3 linked regions of the Arabidopsis thaliana genome follow. The protein of the gene in region 3 interacts with the protein of the main gene of each other region in a pairwise test. Each region holds a gene or a part of one and is shown on either strand. Other genes may lie near its edges.

Evidence for each region. Proteins that work in one complex are often made in the same cells at the same time.
Region 1: the proteins of ASHH1 (region 3) and ATX1 interact in a two-hybrid assay, tested with the Arabidopsis thaliana proteins (one study listed by BioGRID).
Region 2: the proteins of ASHH1 (region 3) and EFS interact in a two-hybrid assay, tested with the Arabidopsis thaliana proteins (one study listed by BioGRID).

What each region holds. Positions count from the first base shown.
Region 1 is NC_003071.7:13,456,163-13,464,381, reverse strand, and holds the start of ATX1 (homologue of trithorax), read left to right. Parts: upstream 1-1,950; 5' UTR 1,951-2,200; coding exon 2,201-2,784; intron 2,785-2,939; coding exon 2,940-2,991; intron 2,992-3,092; coding exon 3,093-3,167; intron 3,168-3,270; coding exon 3,271-3,490; intron 3,491-3,641; coding exon 3,642-3,768; intron 3,769-3,875; coding exon 3,876-3,980; intron 3,981-4,134; coding exon 4,135-4,334; intron 4,335-4,454; coding exon 4,455-4,547; intron 4,548-4,661; coding exon 4,662-4,759; intron 4,760-4,851; coding exon 4,852-5,010; intron 5,011-5,806; coding exon 5,807-5,950; intron 5,951-6,032; coding exon 6,033-6,080; intron 6,081-6,201; coding exon 6,202-6,319; intron 6,320-6,393; coding exon 6,394-6,459; intron 6,460-6,570; coding exon 6,571-6,632; intron 6,633-6,731; coding exon 6,732-6,788; intron 6,789-6,881; coding exon 6,882-6,950; intron 6,951-7,065; coding exon 7,066-7,249; intron 7,250-7,551; coding exon 7,552-7,797; intron 7,798-7,995; and 4 more.
Region 2 is NC_003070.9:29,046,186-29,051,064, forward strand, and holds the start of EFS (histone-lysine N-methyltransferase), read right to left. Parts: upstream 3,270-4,879; 5' UTR 2,994-3,269; intron 2,637-2,993; 5' UTR 2,626-2,636; coding exon 159-2,625; intron 1-158. UniProt on the Arabidopsis thaliana protein: Histone methyltransferase involved in di and tri-methylation of 'Lys-36' of histone H3 (H3K36me2 and H3K36me3). Binds to H3 already mono- or di-methylated on 'Lys-4'(H3K4me1 or H3K4me2), but not to H3K4me3.
Region 3 is NC_003070.9:28,788,936-28,794,751, reverse strand, and holds ASHH1 (SET domain group 26), read left to right. Parts: upstream 1-2,032; 5' UTR 2,033-2,135; exon of another isoform or gene 2,136-2,326; 5' UTR 2,327-2,380; coding exon 2,381-2,401; intron 2,402-2,478; coding exon 2,479-2,543; intron 2,544-2,637; coding exon 2,638-2,794; intron 2,795-2,954; coding exon 2,955-3,041; intron 3,042-3,233; coding exon 3,234-3,318; intron 3,319-3,406; coding exon 3,407-3,500; intron 3,501-3,589; coding exon 3,590-3,788; intron 3,789-3,895; coding exon 3,896-3,930; intron 3,931-4,048; coding exon 4,049-4,865; 3' UTR 4,866-5,032; downstream 5,033-5,816. Other genes in the region: AT1G76720 (eukaryotic translation initiation factor 2 (eIF-2) family protein), read left to right, coding at 1-159, 251-370, 477-608. UniProt on the Arabidopsis thaliana protein: Histone methyltransferase involved in regulation of flowering time. Required for the expression of the SOC1/AGL20 gene. Required for histone H3 trimethylation on 'Lys-4' (H3K4me3) at the SOC1 locus.

The DNA of each region.
Region 1 (8,219 bases), on a different chromosome or scaffold from region 3:
ATGATAGGGTTTAAGAGGGACAAGAATGGCGGAGAAGAAGGAGAAGAAGATTTGATTGATAGTTGGCGAGAGTGGAGGAGAGGGACAAATAGAGCTGGACGATTTACAGTATTTAAATCCCTAGGGTTGTTTAACTAACCAAAACCACCCAATTTTGATTCTGATTGACCCGGGTCTTCTTTAGCCGGTTTATTCCGAACCGGGTCTTCTCTTACTAAATGACGTCACTGATTCTCTTACTAATTAAGTTCAGGTGAATTTGAGGGGAAAACAAATATTTTTGGACATGTATGTGTCTGAAAATGTGATTTTCCCTCTTTTTTTTTGATGAATATATAGTTTAAAATAAAAACTAACAAAGACATAAAAAAATGTTTTTCTCCTTTTAATCAAGTATGTATTATTTTATTTGTTCTGGTCATAATCCTAAGTGAGTGTGGTTGGTATTTTGATGAAAATTTAAAATTGTTCATTCCATAATATTTATGTCCAAGTATATATGGACGTAAATCATGTAAGCGATGATGAATCCCAATGTTAGATGACATCAAAGAATTTTGTGACCATAGGCCATATGTGTTGTGTAAATTTTGTGGGTATCTAGAGAAAGCCAACCAACAAACGCTATATGGATACTTTGACAATAAGTTCCATCCATCAGCTGCCAGTTTGTCCAAGTATCAAAATTTCATCCGAAAAGCTGATAAGCCGCCAATCTGCCCCAAGTATCTAGGAAACGACATATTCTAATGCCTAGTTGATGGGAAGAACTTTGGAGGTACACACATCACCTATCTTGAAGCTCATGAAAGCAAGTATTTTAACCTTACTTACTTTTAAATATATATGTCTCTAGCGTGTATAGCATCCCTATGTGGATCAATTTAGAGCACTAGTGAGCATTGTATGCTACCGCATAAGAAAATGCAACTACTGTTAACCATGATGATTACATCCTTATTAACATATATGACACACTGCAAAAGTCACTGGATGCGATCAAGTTAGCAGCGGTATTTTCCATGTGTCAAAAGCATACTAATATACTACAGTCAACCGTATATTGTTCTTTAGTTAAGTTAAGTAAAGACTACTCCTACTAGACAGATATTCGGTTTATGAATCCAAATCAAGTAATTGCTATGAATAGCCGTTCATTTAAGAATGAAGATAAGGGAAGTGAGTTGAAATGTTTCTTTTAACCTCATATCTTTACTTCAACTTATCACACCTTAAAAACTGGATTAGAGTTCCACTTGTCCGATTCATAGAAAAAATCTTGTATCTATCACAAAAATCTTTAACATATGTTTGATTATTTATCCACAAACTAAGCTTTTTAGGTTGAAATATTATATTATTCTAGAAAACTTCAGAACAATCCAAAACAAGTAATACCAAGGGAGCAAATCGTTGGAATTTCCTCACAAGAAAATTCTCTAGCTCATTTGAGAAAATAGGTAGTATTACTTGAAGAACCCCATTCAATAATTGAATTTATGAGCAATTCGGTTGATTTCTACCTTCATTCAAATTCTAGTCAATCTTGTCTTTTTGTTCCAATGGAATTTAATTTGGATTAACCAGAAAAATATGTCTTATACACTATACTTAACAGACTAAAAACCCAAAAATATACGTATGAACTGAAAAAAAACAAAACAAATTCCATGTAGTGAAGATTACACAAAAACTGGTAAACAACAATTATCTGAAAACAAAACTATATAAAAGAATCAGAGACTCTTGTTGAATTTTGCCCAAAAAAAAAAGACTCTTGTTGAAAATAAAATACATGACAACCGGGATTTTTTTTTTCTACAAGTGGAATTTTTATTTATTTTATTTTTAGTTTTATATGTTTTTATTAACCAGATATTAATTTTTATATACATACACACACACACTATATATGAATGTATGTATGCGGAGATATATAAGGAGACAGAGCAATAGATCTGAAAGACTTGTCATCATCTTAATAAACCCGGCGGGAAACGTAAAAAAGCCTTTTAGCTTCTCCCTCCAAAGGATCTGTTTTTTTCCCTTTTTCTCTGATTCTTCTTCCTAAACCCTAATTTCTCCAATCCACGAAATTCCCTAGCAATTTTTTTGGGGGTTTAGTGAAAGAAGGATAGAGAGAGTGAGCAAAGGTGTCTCCTTTACGAAGCCCTGTGCTTTCTCCCTCCGAATAATCTCCATGGCGTGTTTTTCTAACGAAACCCAGATCGAAATTGATGTCCACGATCTAGTGGAAGCTCCGATTCGCTACGATTCTATTGAGAGTATCTACTCTATTCCTTCATCGGCATTGTGCTGTGTTAATGCCGTTGGTTCTCACAGTCTGATGTCTAAGAAGGTTAAGGCCCAGAAGCTTCCGATGATTGAGCAATTCGAGATTGAAGGTAGCGGTGTTAGTGCTAGTGACGATTGTTGTCGTTCGGATGATTATAAGTTGCGGATTCAGCGTCCTGAGATTGTTCGCGTCTACTATCGTCGCCGTAAGAGGCCGCTACGGGAGTGTTTACTAGATCAGGCGGTGGCTGTGAAGACTGAAAGTGTGGAGCTTGATGAAATTGATTGTTTTGAGGAGAAGAAGAGAAGGAAGATTGGTAATTGTGAGTTGGTGAAATCGGGTATGGAGTCGATTGGTTTAAGAAGGTGTAAGGAAAACAATGCGTTTAGTGGGAATAAGCAAAATGGGTCATCCCGAAGGAAGGGGTCTTCTAGCAAGAATCAGGACAAGGCGACTCTGGCTTCTCGTTCAGCTAAGAAATGGGTCAGGTTAGGGTCTACCTATCATCTCTTTAACTGTTGAAATTCATGGACTTTGAAACTGTTGCGCTGTTGTTTTGCACTGATGATTTTCTTAGTTCAGACTTTGAAGACCTTTTATTGTTAGTGGGCAGACTCCTTATGATGGAGTTTTGATGTGGCAGGTTGAGTTATGATGGTGTGGATCCTACAAGTTTCATAGGGCTGCAATGCAAGGCGAGTGTTTTAACTAGACAATTGTCCACTTTAAGCTATTGCATTTTCCACTTTTTTTGTGAATGGGACATCTTAACAATTGGTTGTCGTTTAATCCCTAGGTTTTTTGGCCGCTGGACGCTCTTTGGTATGAAGGTTCCATTGTTGGATATAGTGCAGAGAGAAAGCGTTACACTGTAAGTAATTCTCTACTCTACTTGAGTTATGAGTTGGGTAGTTCTTTGAGCTATGATATATGTAAAAGCTTGTTCCTCTAACCATGATTAAATTCTTCCTTAGGTCAAATATAGGGATGGATGTGATGAGGATATAGTTTTTGATCGTGAAATGATCAAATTTTTGGTTTCTCGTGAAGAGATGGAGCTATTACATCTGAAGTTTTGTACTAGTAATGTGACTGTCGATGGCCGTGATTACGATGAGATGGTTGTATTGGCAGCTACTTTGGACGAATGCCAAGATTTTGAGCCTGGAGACATTGTATGGGCGAAACTAGCTGGTTTGTCTTAAACTGATTTCCACCTTTTATTCATATATTAAAAAAAATACCTCCTTATGCTATCAGCAAGTTGATGCTGTTGGAAGCATGTAGACAAAGAAAACTACCTACTGACTTCCATAGAACTGCATTTGCTTTCCTATTCGGACAGGTCATGCTATGTGGCCAGCAGTTATTGTAGACGAATCCATTATCGGAGAGCGGAAAGGTCTAAACAACAAGGTATCTGGAGGAGGATCACTCTTGGTCCAATTTTTTGGAACTCATGATTTTGCTAGGTTAGTCAGCGTTTCCTATATACTTAAAAAATCTCGTTTTTCTACTGAGATGTTGAGATCAATGTTACACATTATCAAGCTGAAGTTAACATCCTTTGGTTTTATAGAATAAAAGTAAAGCAAGCAATCTCATTTATCAAAGGGCTTCTTTCGCCATCTCACCTGAAGTGCAAACAACCTCGGTTTGAAGAGGGCATGCAGGAAGCAAAAATGCAAGTCCCTCTCGCTTTTCTTTGGCATTCTGCTTTCTTGACTTTCCAGTACATGTTGCATTAACAATTAGACCAATCATTTCTTCATGATGTTTCATTTTGAAACCTGGACATGTTACCTGTCCTGAAATTTCTGTTATTTTGCCTCACTCAGGTATCTGAAGGCACACAGGCTTCCAGAAAGAATGAGTCAACTTCAAAAGGGAGCTGATTCTGTTGATTCCGATATGGCTAATAGTACAGAAGAGGGAAACTCGGGTGGTGATCTTCTTAATGATGGAGAAGTGTGGTTGAGACCAACAGAACATGTAGACTTCCGGCATATAATAGGGGATCTGCTAATAATAAATCTTGGTAAGCCATGAAACTTATATATAAGTATGGTGTATAATCTTTCATTCTATGGTTCATTATTTATAGTTGGTTATAGGAAAACTCCAATGATAATATATAGGCGTATGACTTGTCTTACAGGAAAGGTTGTGACAGACTCTCAGTTTTTCAAGGATGAGAATCATATTTGGCCTGAAGGGTATACGGCGATGAGAAAGTTCACATCACTCACAGGTTATTTGTTAATCAGTTTTTGGCTTTTACTTATAAATCAGGTATTTTTCCATATTTGGTTAATTGTGATTAGTTCTCAATGTGATGTGGGTTGTTGCTTTTGGTTTTAAGCAGATCATAGTGCATCTGCCTTGTACAAGATGGAAGTGCTCAGAGATGCCGAGACAAAGACTCATCCGCTGTTTATAGTGACTGCAGATAGTGGAGAGCAGGTGAGTTAAACATATCTATTAGTATCTGTTTTATTGAACTTTCAGGTCAAGAATCTATCTCTGGCTAACATCGGTAACTAATTTTTTGGCAGTTCAAAGGGCCTACTCCATCGGCCTGCTGGAACAAAATATATAATAGGATAAAAAAGGTCCAGAATTCTGACAGTCCTAATATTTTGGGTGAAGAACTAAATGGATCTGGTACAGACATGTTTGGTCTCTCCAACCCAGAAGTCATTAAACTTGTACAGGTACCTTGTCATTGCATGTAAAATTATTTGTGGTGGTGTGCATGTGTTTTCATGATAATCTGCTTGCACATGCATTTTGGTCTCATAAAAATCATATAATTGTCTGGACACTGAATATTTTGTGGTACCCTTGCTTTTGCTTTATCTCTAAAACGTGTAAGCGGGTCTCATTTATGTTTAATATGAATGTTTGATGCACAAACCAAGTTTTCCTGTAAGACATTTAAGCTTGTGCACTAAATATTTCTATGCAGCTCTTTGCTAATTGGTTTATGGGTAGCCTAATTCGCTATTTCCGGTCTAAAGGCATATTAGAATCACATCTTCATCAATGAGACAACACTAACTTCACCTACGAAATAATCATTTCTGCCTAGTGACTATGGCTTCTTTTCTTTAATTGTTACGGTTTCTTTCTCTTCTGTAAGAAAACTGTATGAATTAAATTAACAGTTATTAATCGAAGCCAGCTTAACAAGTATTTACAGTGAGTTTCTAAGGATAAAATATGTGCATTTGGTCTATTGATTGAAAGAAAATTTGTGTTTAAGTGAAACTAAAGAGTAGAATTCTGTTCTGGAGTCTTTATAGCGAAACTCGTTTTGTAGGACATATTACCTTATATTATTTCATTAGGCAGATACCTATCAAGATGGTTGCTAGAATTTGCAAACTTTTATAATTAATTCCCTATGTACTGCTTGCCGGCGCCCTGTTTTATACAATTGCATTATTGTTTAGCTTCTAGTGTCTACACTTAATATGTGTCTCACCCTAATATACCATTACGTAGCAGGATTTATCAAAATCCAGACCATCGTCCCATGTTTCCATGTGCAAAAATAGTTTGGGAAGGCATCAAAATCAGCCTACTGGTTACCGACCTGTCCGTGTTGACTGGAAAGATCTCGATAAGTGCAATGTCTGCCACATGGATGAGGTAAAGGTTTTTTTTTTGTTTCACATGAGATTTCAAACGTTTCTCTTTAGTTAGTTCTGATTTATATATTTTTTGTCTGCAGGAGTATGAGAACAATTTGTTCCTGCAATGTGATAAATGTAGAATGATGGTATAGCTCATGCTCTGGGCTTTTTTAGCTATCATATACCTCTTAGATGTATATCTTTAGTGCCTTGTGCTCTTTCTTTCTCTTGGGTATGACTCAATTTGAATTCCTGGTCCACTACTAGGTCCATGCTAAATGCTATGGAGAGCTAGAACCCTGTGATGGTGCTTTGTGGTTATGCAACTTATGTCGTCCTGGTGCTCCTGATATGCCTCCACGGTGTTGTCTTTGTCCTGTAGTAGGTAATTTTACCGTACCATTTGGTGTATGGAGTCTATATGTGCTTTCATTAGTGAATAATTGAAACTTCTTTTAGGGGGTGCTATGAAGCCGACAACTGATGGTCGCTGGGCTCATCTGGCTTGTGCTATATGGATCCCAGGTTCAATCTTAACGATTTGTTGTTCTGTATAAGTCTGCTTTCCTACTAATAGGAGGCCGTATTACACTATTACTTTCCTATTTACAAATTAACACTTGTTATTTTATTCAGAAACATGTTTATCTGATGTCAAGAAGATGGAACCTATTGATGGGGTGAATAAAGTCAGCAAGGTACGTACTTATTTTCTTGTTCGGATTCCTTTACCTTGGTACTGTGGCCTTTTCAAAACTCTTATCCCTCTTCCTCTTTTTCTCTACTCTTAAAACTAGGATCGTTGGAAATTAATGTGCACCATCTGCGGGGTATCTTATGGAGCTTGTATCCAAGTAAGATTTCGTTCTATGTTAAGAGAAAACTGAATCATTCTTATGCATTGTTCAAGAGCTGATATATATAATTTTAAAATGACTACATTTCAGTGTTCAAACAATTCTTGTCGCGTGGCATATCATCCACTCTGCGCGCGAGCTGCTGGTCTCTGTGTTGAGGTACCTTAGGGAATAAAAAAAATTTCTTTCCCACTTACACACATGTACTCTAACACAGCAAGTCCACAAAAGAGATGTTTCTAACTGATTATTGCTTTCCTGACTCTCCATGTAGCTTGAGAATGACATGTCAGTGGAGGGTGAAGAAGCAGATCAGTGTATCCGCATGCTTTCATTCTGCAAGCGACATCGACAAACATCAACTGCCTGCCTAGGATCAGAAGACAGGATCAAATCCGCTACTCATAAAACTTCTGAGTATCTCCCACCACCTAATCCATCTGGCTGTGCTCGGACAGGTATGCAGCTACTGCGTTTATCTGTGGATGCTAAGATTAAAATTTAGATTCACACCACACTTTTGGGACAGGATTATTTCATCATTATTCTTTTACCTTGCATACGGCCATGTGTGTTTTGTTCTCTTTCATATTCTTACATATCCTCTTAAGATATCAGTTTCTTACTTTATATACAAGCATTTTTTAGATTTGATACAAAGGTCAAATTTCAGGCTTTTGTGTTTCCATTCTTTTCTACTTTTATTCGTGTTTGCATCCTATGGGTCAGTATAGATGATAATTTCCGTCTATTGTTGCAGAGCCTTATAATTGTTTTGGCAGAAGAGGGCGAAAGGAACCTGAAGCTCTTGCTGCTGCTTCTTCAAAGCGGTTATTTGTTGAGAATCAGCCATATGTTATTGGTGGTTACTCTAGACTTGAGTTTTCAACGTACAAAAGCATTCACGGATCCAAGGTGTCACAGATGAATACTCCAAGCAACATTCTTTCTATGGCTGAGAAATATAGATACATGAGGGAAACATACAGGAAGAGATTAGCATTTGGTAAGCATTCGTTATTCTTTAACTTTCAGTAAATCTTAAAAGATATTACAGGTCTTTTCAACTTCTGCTAAGATAAAAAATATAGTAGGATTTCTGTAGGATAAAAATAATTTGTAGGATTCCTTTCAGAATGATCTAGTCACATCCTAAGCTTCTTTCAGAAAAATCTTATAAAAGTTGGTTCTTTTTTTGTTTCAGGGAAATCAGGAATTCATGGTTTTGGCATTTTTGCAAAGCTTCCTCACAGGGCGGGAGATATGGTGAGCATACTCAACTTGAACTGGACATTTCATCTTTAGAAAGTGTCACTCATGGAAATATTGTATGATTCTTGTGCAGATGATTGAATATACCGGAGAACTTGTTAGACCGTCAATAGCTGACAAAAGAGAACAACTCATCTACAATTCAATGGTGGTACG
Region 2 (4,879 bases), 260 kb from region 3:
AAATGTTTCAAAAGATTGGAAGCATCATAAAGAAATGGAAAACATTGAGATTCTATTCAACTTCACGTAAGCAAAAAATAGTGTCCTCAAATTTTTGGGAAACAAGAAAGGTGTTGAACATGGACAATAATTCTTAGAGCTAATTAAAAGAGTAGTACCTGTTGTTTTGTGAGACTCTATTCTCCCTACTTCAGGATAATCACTATCATCCCTTCCCATACTGGTATTCAGGGATTTGCGTTGCTCTACCCCTTCATGTGATTCATTTTTTCTCCCGTCTTTGGCAGATTCGGAAAACTTGGATTTACCTTTCTTTGTTCCATTACTTTTAGACTTCGGATGTTTAGCTTTTTTTGCATTGGGAATTAGATGTGAACCATTTTCTGAAGGAGATTTTGAAGCACGCAATTCATCTTCTTTTTCTAATACTCTGTTCTTCTTGACCACATCTTCTGGAGTGCTAAAAAAACCATGATGCAGACCCTCTTTATGTTCAATATTGACAATGGAATCAGGCACAGAGTTGATAACTTCAGAATCTGGTGAAGTTTCAGCGTCCAGGGACTGCGTTCCAGTGGCCCTCTCGCACTCCTCAACCATTCTAATAGAGGAAAGGTGTGGGTCATCATCTAAAACATCACCACCCACCTTCCTACATAAACCCCCAGCGTCTTGGTTATATTTCTTATCCCTCATAGAATCAGATGACTGAAGATATGAAACTTTCTCCACAGGGTTGCTTTTCTCTACCAAGTCCTCTTTAGTTTCCACAGTTTGCATTTTATCCTCACCAAAATGTGCTGATCCTGGCAATTCTAAACATGTTCCTGCTTTTACAATACCATTACCAGGTAAGGAGTTACCACTGACCTTAGAGACTGTAATGTTCAGAGGATTTTGGCCACCTGATTTACCAAATTTAACTTTCAAACGAAGGCAAGAGCCACTTGATGCTTGGATGTTTCTGTTAGATCCTTCTACATTCCCGTTATGAGAACTTCTATTATGCTCTCCATTATTAAGATTTCCCTGAGATCTCTGTGGTTCATGATGCGGAGGTCCATCATAGGGAATATTATTGCTCTGTAAGAAGATTTCAGTGGTCTTGCTTGGTAATCCCCACTCAGATGAACGACTTGTTTTTAAAAGAGAGCTCCTCTTCTGCTTTGAGCACTTGAAAATTGACTCAATGTCTCTTTCTGATTGTTTCTTTCTAGAGGATTTTCTCAGATGGCGAGCACTCGTTTTTGTCTGCACCACTTTACATTGTTTCCCGTCTCGGGCCTTCCTTCGGGAAGAAGACATGCCAGCTTCACAAAAATCACTCCCTGATGCAGAAGCAACTTCACCACCTATTCTGCCATTGTCATCTACTATTCTGAGTGGCTCAACTGCATTTTCAGGATTACAGACTTCGATTCCTCCACTTCCAAAGTTCAATGGAAAATTCCATATCAAAGAAGAGTCAGTAATAGGGGAATTGGCTTCCATATCTAAAGTTTTTTCGTCTATGGGTGAACTCTGACTGAAATTTTCAGCTCTCAGATCAGCAGCCATACCATTATTCATACTCAAAGCGGCCACGGCACTTTCACTTGATGAATCCCCAACATGGTTTTTTAGCATCTTTTCATTCATCACGGAAAGATCAGTGTCAAGCCTATCCTCACGTACCAACTTCAAATCTGGATTGATCGTCTCTGTGACTGTGATCTTGTTAAGATCATGTGAACATAGGCCACCATCATCATTATTTAACATTTCTGTGATAGCTAATGAAGGGGATACAACAATAGTCCCATTGCCTTCAATATCAATTGCATCCTCCAGATAACTTTCTGTGGCGCTACAGCCAAATACACTAGAGTCCAATAACGAATCTGGAAACGAAAAACTCTGACTGAGAGATATATCATCAGAAGAACCAGTATCTAGATCACTCGATGGTCCATTTCTTCCTTCCTTACCTCCATCATCAAACCTATAACTAATACCATCACTTTCAACTTCATCAGGTTTTATGTGCTTTGTGGTTTCCAAAGACTCGAATTGTTCTGGTGCATCATTCACAAAAGTTGATTCCGTATCTATTCCACTGCCCCCTATAGGCAATGTTGTGCCACCATAACCTTCATCTTCTTTAGCCTGAGGAGCTTCTTTCTCTTGCATACTCCCAGAAAAAATGGATACAAGGGACACATTTGTGTCCTGACTTTCCTTTCCATCATCCAGCTTGTTGCAATTTACCAGTAAATCAGTATCACAAATTAATTCTTGACTTTGTTCAAGCTCACCTGAAACCACTCCCTGCTCCTGAGTGTCATCAGCATTGTAACAAACATATAGATCATCATCAGTGTTTCCAGCATCTTCTTGACTATTACTGTTCCCGTATCCCATCTGCTCAATCTCTGTAAAGCACTTCCTTTGGCCTTCAATCGTATGGTTTACAGATGAAGCAGTCTGAGGAATCTCCAAACTACTGACTGAATCTAAATTTTGCCCACGAGAACTCAATTTCTCATAGAAATCTTCATTGGTATTCATCGCAAGATTTGAGGCCAGAGAGTTAGCATCAATATTGCACCCAGAAGCGTCACCAACACCGTTTTCCTTACAGTCCATCGTAATGCTACCTGATTCAAAGCCAAACAAATAACATTCTCAAAAAAAGGGATTTTTAATGAAAAATCAGTAAGCTATTTAGTAAATCAAACTATGCAATGGTTCAAAGACCTTTAACAGATTCTCAATAGAACCCAGCCCCGTATTAACATGATCTACAAAATCAACCAAACAGAGACCCCAAAAAAAAAAAAAAAAAAAACTTAAGAAGGTCAACTCAAAGACCTAACACAAGACAATGGATGGCTCAATCATCAACATTGATGACAAAAACCCTCCGATCTCTTCTGATTTTAAACACGCCGCAACAGAGACTAAATAAAATAAAATAAAATCTTGTCACCTCCTGAAAATAACGAAACCCTAACCTCATGAATCAGAAGCGATTGAGCGAATGCCAACGAACGTAAAACTGGAGCACGAGTAACGGAGAAAACCCTAGAGAGGCGGAGAAGATTACGATATCAGATATAGAGAGAGGAGAAGGAATCGGAGGAAGTAGGGAAGAGACAACGCGAGGCGGTCAGTTTTTTCAGAGATACCGATTTTTTTTTTTTCTCTTTTTCAGTAAAATAAATTGTAAAATCCCCAAACGATACTATTTTGCTATTCCCAACTTATATTTTTTTGTTGTTGCTAATTTGTTTGATTTGGACTTGTGTGGGTCTTAGTTTTTTTATTTTATTTTAATCTCAATGATTACGATGAAAATTTAATTGACAAACAAAAAAATATTTATATTTTTCGATAAAGTCATAGGTTTTTTAAATCTTACCCAAACATATGTCAAAACAATAAAAGTTAGAACTTTTTTGTAGAGAAAATTCACACAAGCTTTTACTAAAAATACATTGCCAATTTATTTCCAAGATATTCAGATCTATTGGGGAGTTGTGTTCAATCAAAATGGTCCCAAAGGTGGTCCATAAAGACATGATTAGTCGTTTAATTAGCTTCTTTAGTCTATGATTACTTGATTAGTCGTTCGTTCTAATAAGATTCTCGCTAGTATTCTTCCATAATGGTTTATCATTAGAAAAAAGAAATATATATTGTATGTGTATATCAGAATAAAAGTTCATGTAATAACTTTAGTCTACCAAACCTAGCTAGTTGTATTATTATTTTACAATAAGACTCACACAGCCCCACTCATTCGCAATCATAACATCGGCGGAGACTTTCGCGACCAAGCAAGCGGGAATAAGTTTCATAGCTCCAGACAACGATGGTTAACTGACTTGTGTTCTCCTCGTTGAAGATGCAAATAAGTGCGATGATGATGAGCCAAGCATTTATCCGAATCAGAGTCTTGTTAACGATATTGAGTCACGGTTTGAATGTGACCAAACCCTTGCTATGATCCCTGTCATTAGAAGCCAAAAACGTGGAAGCTAAGGGGAGGATATTCATACACGAAGTCGCAGTATTTCTTCTTGTTGTCCACCTCATCCACTTCATCTTCTCATCCATATCATATATGTCGTCGGACACCGTCCATATTGAAGATGAATGAGCAGTTGCGGCGGAACTTAGAGGTTGGAGACTATGTCGACTTTATAAGAGATCAAAGAAGCATCACAATAAAAGAGAGAGCAGAAGAGTATCGCCATGATCCCTGGGAAGCGTGGAACTGCAAGGGTGTTATATAGGCTTATAGTGTTGTAGTTGTTGATAATTACTATATTTTGATGTTTGCATTACTGTCTGTCTATATGGAGCCATGGAGGTGATATCATAATCCAAGGGAGAATTAAGAGCTAAGAGAAAAACTTATGCTATCATCTAGCTACACATGATGCATAAAATCTGTGCCTAATTCATAGTTTTGATAATATGGAAACCAAGGAATGCTTTGATATATGACAATAAGCTATGGATCATCATTCCATTGCTAAAAAAAGAGAGAAAAACAATGGAGTTGAGAACAAAAATATGAGATGCGGGAATTGAACTAATCAAGTTATAATCTACTTGTACACATAACCATGTCCCACTCACTTCTCTCAACGCACTTTTGGATGCATCTTGGAAATATGAGAACAAACCATACGAACACTAAAACTAATTGTTTCGCTTTTGTATGATCAACAAAACAGACTTGTAGTTTGGAGTTGATGTAGTCTTACTGTAATGCCGTCTCTCGGTATTGACCTATTCCGACGCAGTTTCCTCAAGAACAATATTAATGCAAAAAGCAACAATTCTAAGGCAAATACATAAGCAAGGCAAGCAAAATAAAATTGTTGTCTCT
Region 3 (5,816 bases):
CAGTTTCAGGTTTACATTGAGAATATCAAAGAGGAGAAAAAGAAGGAATCAGCCGGTGAGGCAGTCTTCCCATGTGTCCTTCAGATTTTACCTAACTGTGTGTTCAATAAGAGAGACCCAATAATCCTTGGAGTTAAGGTCCACGACGGTATACTTAAGGTATCCTATTCTTACTCTGCTATATTCTCGGTAACTTGCTCACATGTCCAAGGATTCTCAATCCTTTTAACATTCGTCTTGTTTGTTTTAGATCGGAACCCCCATTTGCGTCCCGGGCAGAGAGTTCACAGATATTGGCCGCATTGCCTCTATTGAGAACAACCACAAGCCTGTTGACTATGCAGAGAAGGGCGACGAGGTGGCGATTAAGGTAATAAGGGGATCATTCCCTTCAACAACCTTTGTATAGAGAAAGAGAGAGAGAGACAAAAGTTGTTGAGGTTTCAACTTGATGCTTTTCTCTGGTTGTATAACAGATTGTTGCTTCAAATCGCGAAGAACAGAAGATGTTTGGAAGGCATTTTGACATGGAAGATGAGCTTGTGAGTCACATTTCGAGGAGATCTATCGACATACTCAAAGCTGACTACATGGTAAGTCAAGGATAAGATAAGTTGTTTCCCATCTACGTTTTCTTTGACTCATTATTCTGACCCAAAACAAATGCTCGAAATTAAAACCAATAACAATTGCAGAAAGAAATGTCGACAGAGAAATGGAAGCTCCTATTGAAACTGAAGAGAATCTTCAAGATTCCCTGAACAGTCAAATGTCTACTCTAGAGCTTAAAACACTCGCGGGCCTTGTTGTTACGTCGTGTCTGCTGCATAACGAAGGGATTTATCTTCCTGATTCGTTTTTTTAATAACTATATTAGGCTGAAATTTGTAACCCTGTTAATTAATTTAGCCAATATCAAGAAAACTCTTAATAGGTAATACTGAAATTATATAATCTTATTGAAATTCTAAATTCTCATATAAAGCATGTTATTTCGTTAAAGAGAGTTTGTTACAGACTCTGACTTATATAGAGGCCTCTTGAACCCGGTCTACACACTAAACCTTAATTAGGGTTAACTCAACCGAGCTACAATCATCATATACAGTATATTATTAGTATATATCTTCAAATAATAACCGGGAAGAAAATGTGATGCAAAATTTAAATAATGATGACTAAAGTAGCAAGATGAATTGGTGCACACAAAAAGAAAAGTAGCTAGATGATAAAAAAAAAAAGTTATAGCTAAGCCCAGGCTGTGATTTGCTCTACTATTTTCAAATTATACAAAACTGAAAGCAATACAAAATGGAAAGTAAATGAAGTGGAGACTAGTTTTTTTTTGTTCTTGTTTTTTTCCCAATTTAATCATTTTTATTTACTCACTAAATAAGTAATTAAAAATTAAGGAGAGATGGGTTGGTTATATTATTATATAATATCAACAAATATAAGAATATAATGTAGTTTTTATTACTTAAATTATCGAAATTTGTATAATCTTATTAAAAGTTAAATTATTAAAATTAAGGAGAGATGGGTTGGTTATATTATTATATAAAAATTTGTATAATTTTTGAGGAGCAACCATAGTCCAAGACCCCACCAAGGCTAAAATCACTCCGACGGCGATGGCAATAACTCTTTTTTTATCTACTCCTATAGCCATCGTTAGAGCCATCTCCCTTTACTTCATCTAGCCAAATAACTTATTTTGTGTTTTATGATCATATTTTAAAAAGTTGCATGTACCCATTACAATATAAACACCCAAAAAGTGATACTTCTTATAACTCAATAAATGTATCTAACAAAATTAGAACCTCTTTTTTGATATATTTTTTTCAAAAATATTAATTTAGAATCGTGATACAAGATTTAACACAAAATGTAATCAATGAAACGACATATAGTGTGGTCTCATAGATGTTAGTTACATGATATCTACTTTAATTAAGGTCACGATATTATTAACATGATAATTTTTCTTTTCTTTTTAATTAATTTAGCTTTGTCTATTGTTTTTTCCTAATTTTAAAAAGAAAAAGAAAAGTTGGTTGCATTCTTTTCCTAACGCCGTCTATTGTTCTTCGTCCTCGCTCGTCGTCGCGTTCTCTCTCTCAAACTCTCAGGTAAGCTTCTTCAGTTTCCCACTTTCCCTCTTACACCAATATCCAATTTTGTGTGTTTGCAAATAAATATGTGTTAAGTAATGTGGTTTCGTTTCTAGCTGCAAGTTTCTTCCTTTCCAAAGGTTTGTGTCGATCTTAAAATCCCAGAGTTTGATAAACCTAATTCTCTCCTTCCGTTTTTAATTTTGTAGAAACTTGACCTATACTAGGCCCTGAGTCTGATTGCGAGAATCGCTGACAAAAAAATGCAATTTTCTTGTGATCCTGTAAGTGAAATTGGGTGAGATTTCGATTTGGTTTGTTTTGTTTGTGCGAATTTCGCCAATGATGTTTTTGTGTGAAGGATCAAGAAGGAGATGAGCTGCCACAATATGAACACATTTATCAAAATGACTTCTCTTATCGAAAGTAAGATCCTTTCTTTGATTGCTGGCTCGTGGCTTTCGGTTATCTTCTCAGTATGCGTTGTTGTTAAGTACACATTTGTTTAACGCTTCTATAGGCACAAGAAACAAAAGGAAGAAGATATATCTATCTGCGAATGCAAGTTTGATTTCGGAGACCCTGACAGTGCTTGTGGTGAGAGATGCCTCAATGTCATTACCAACACTGAATGTACTCCTGGTTACTGCCCCTGTGGTGTCTATTGCAAGAATCAGGTTAACAACTTGAAATCTTTGCTTCCACGTTTTCATGTAATTCTAGAATCTAAGATTTGCGTTAAAGCTTGGTGATGTTCTTACAAGTTCCTATTCAAACTAATGATAATTGAGTTAAATGAATGTTAATTAGTAGTTTTACATGCTTTGCCGGTTACAGAAGTTCCAAAAATGTGAATACGCCAAAACAAAGTTGATCAAGTGTGAAGGTCGTGGTTGGGGACTAGTGGCTCTTGAAGAGATAAAGGTGAGGACTCAAAATTTATTCTTGTGTCTTTATCATGTCTGATACTCTTTACCAAGATTTATGACAATTTCCGTCACACTTCGTTGATCTAATGCAAATGGGCAAATAACATGGCTGGTGTATTCTTTTTCTTAAGTAAATAGTCAATTGGGTTTGATTAAATGACTGGTTGTATTTGATGCTATGATTTAGGCGGGGCAATTTATAATGGAGTACTGTGGTGAAGTAATATCATGGAAAGAAGCAAAGAAGAGGGCTCAAACTTATGAAACTCATGGTGAGTAGAAACTTTACAGAGATGATGAGAGTGTTGTAATGCTATAGGTGATGTTAGGTGATGTGTTAATTATGTGTTACATGAGCAGGTGTCAAGGATGCATACATTATATCTCTCAATGCATCTGAGGCTATTGATGCCACTAAGAAGGGAAGCCTTGCTAGGTTTATAAATCATTCATGGTAAAACGAACAACTGGCTTTTTACATGCTTCAAAGAAATTCATATCTATAAAACGTTCCTTATCGTTTCTTTCTCTATTTTCCTGCAGTAGACCAAATTGTGAGACGAGGAAGTGGAATGTACTGGGAGAAGTTAGGGTTGGGATCTTTGCAAAAGAGAGCATCTCTCCCCGGACCGAATTGGCTTACGACTATAATTTTGAATGGTACGGTGGTGCCAAAGTGCGTTGTCTCTGTGGTGCGGTTGCATGCTCTGGATTTCTTGGAGCCAAGTCTCGTGGCTTTCAGGCAAGTCCTTACGTTATCATCCTCATAGTATTATTTGTCAAAAATTGGGAGGAATGAAATTAATCATACTGGTCTATACCTAACCTTATACCTTTCTATCATTTCAGGAGGATACATATGTATGGGAGGATGGTGACGATCGGTAATTTTCTTTTCACTTATTTTATGCGGCATAAAAATGGTCATGGATCTTGCGAGAAAGGAATGTTTTTCATCTTGGACTGGCGATATTTTAGCCCCTCTCTTTTCTTTGTCTCCAGGTATTCAGTTGATAAAATTCCAGTCTATGATTCTGCAGAGGACGAGCTTACATCTGAGCCTTCTAAGAATGGCGAGTCCAACACAAATGAAGAGAAAGAGAAAGATATCTCAACAGAGAACCATTTGGAGTCTACTGCTCTGAATATTCAACAGCAATCAGATTCAACTCCAACTCCTATGGAGGAAGATGTCGTCACGGAGACTGTTAAAACCGAAACATCTGAAGACATGAAGCTGCTCTCACAAAATTCACAAGAAGATTCATCGCCAAAGACTGCAATTGTATCACGGGTTCACGGTAACATTTCCAAGATCAAGTCCGAATCTCTTCCGAAGAAAAGAGGCAGGCCGTTTTCAGGCGGAAAAACAAAGAATGTCGCTCAGAAGCATGTTGACATAGCGAATGTGGTTCAGCTACTAGCAACCAAAGAAGCTCAAGATGAAGTTCTCAAATACGAGGTAAAACAGTTTTTCAAGCGTATAGGTACAAATTCAAAACCTTCTCAGTATCAGATGTGTTTGGTAAATTGTTGCTTGCAGGAGGTGAAGAAGGAAGCAGCAGTACGACTCTCGTCATTGTACGACGAGATAAGGCCGGCGATTGAGGAGCATGAAAGAGATAGCCAAGACAGTGTAGCAACAAGTGTGGCGGAGAAATGGATACAAGCAAGCTGTAATAAACTCAAGGCAGAGTTTGATCTTTACTCTAGTGTAATAAAGAACATCGCTTCCACTCCCATCAAACCACAAGACACAAAGACCAAAGTCGCGGAAGCAGGAAACGAAGACCATATTAAACTCTTGGAAGCCAAATGAGAATTAGCTCGGAAGGACACCTCTAATGGACAAAAAAATATCTTAAGAACTGGAAGCTAACTTGGTTTACTTTTCACGTTTGAAAATGTAATAAATATTTTTAAAATGAGAACATTTTGTTGAAATTTAAAATTTTAGTAATCAAATTTTTATTAATCAATTCTACCAAAAAAATAAAAATTAGTAATCAAAATAATTTAATAAAGACATTTTGAATGATAAAAAAAACTTTTTTAGTTAAAATTTTATATTTATGTAAAACATATTGATCGTAGAACATCGCTTAAGGATTTTATACTATGGGGGGATGTTGTGTCCAATTATTTTACACATATTGAATTTAACACTTAAAAACAAAAATATTATGTATATTTTAAAAATTAAAATATTTTGTGTAAAATATTACTTAAAACATATTGAACGTAGAACACCGTATAAGGACTTCATACTATGGACGGGATGTTGTGTCCAATTATTTTACACATATTAAACTTTAACACTTAAAAACAAAATATTATGTATATCTAAAAAGTTAAAATATTTTGTCTAAAATATTACTTTAAAAATAAAAATAAAAACCTTATATTTTAAATAGTTATAAAAATAATATAAATGTTAAAATTTAATATGTGCAAAACATATTGAACCTAGGACACCACTAAAGGACCTCATACTATGGACGGGATGTTGTGTCCAATTATTTTACACATATTAAACTTTAACAATTAAAACCAAAATATTATGTATATTAAAAAAAAAAATATTTGTCTAAAATATTACTTAAAAAATAAAAATAAAAACCTTATATTTTAAATAGTTATAAAAATAATATAAATGTTAAAATTTAATATGTGCAAAACATATTGAACCTAGGACACCACTAAATGACCTCATGGACGGGATGTTGTGTCCAATTATTTTACACATATTAAACTTTAACAATTAAAACCA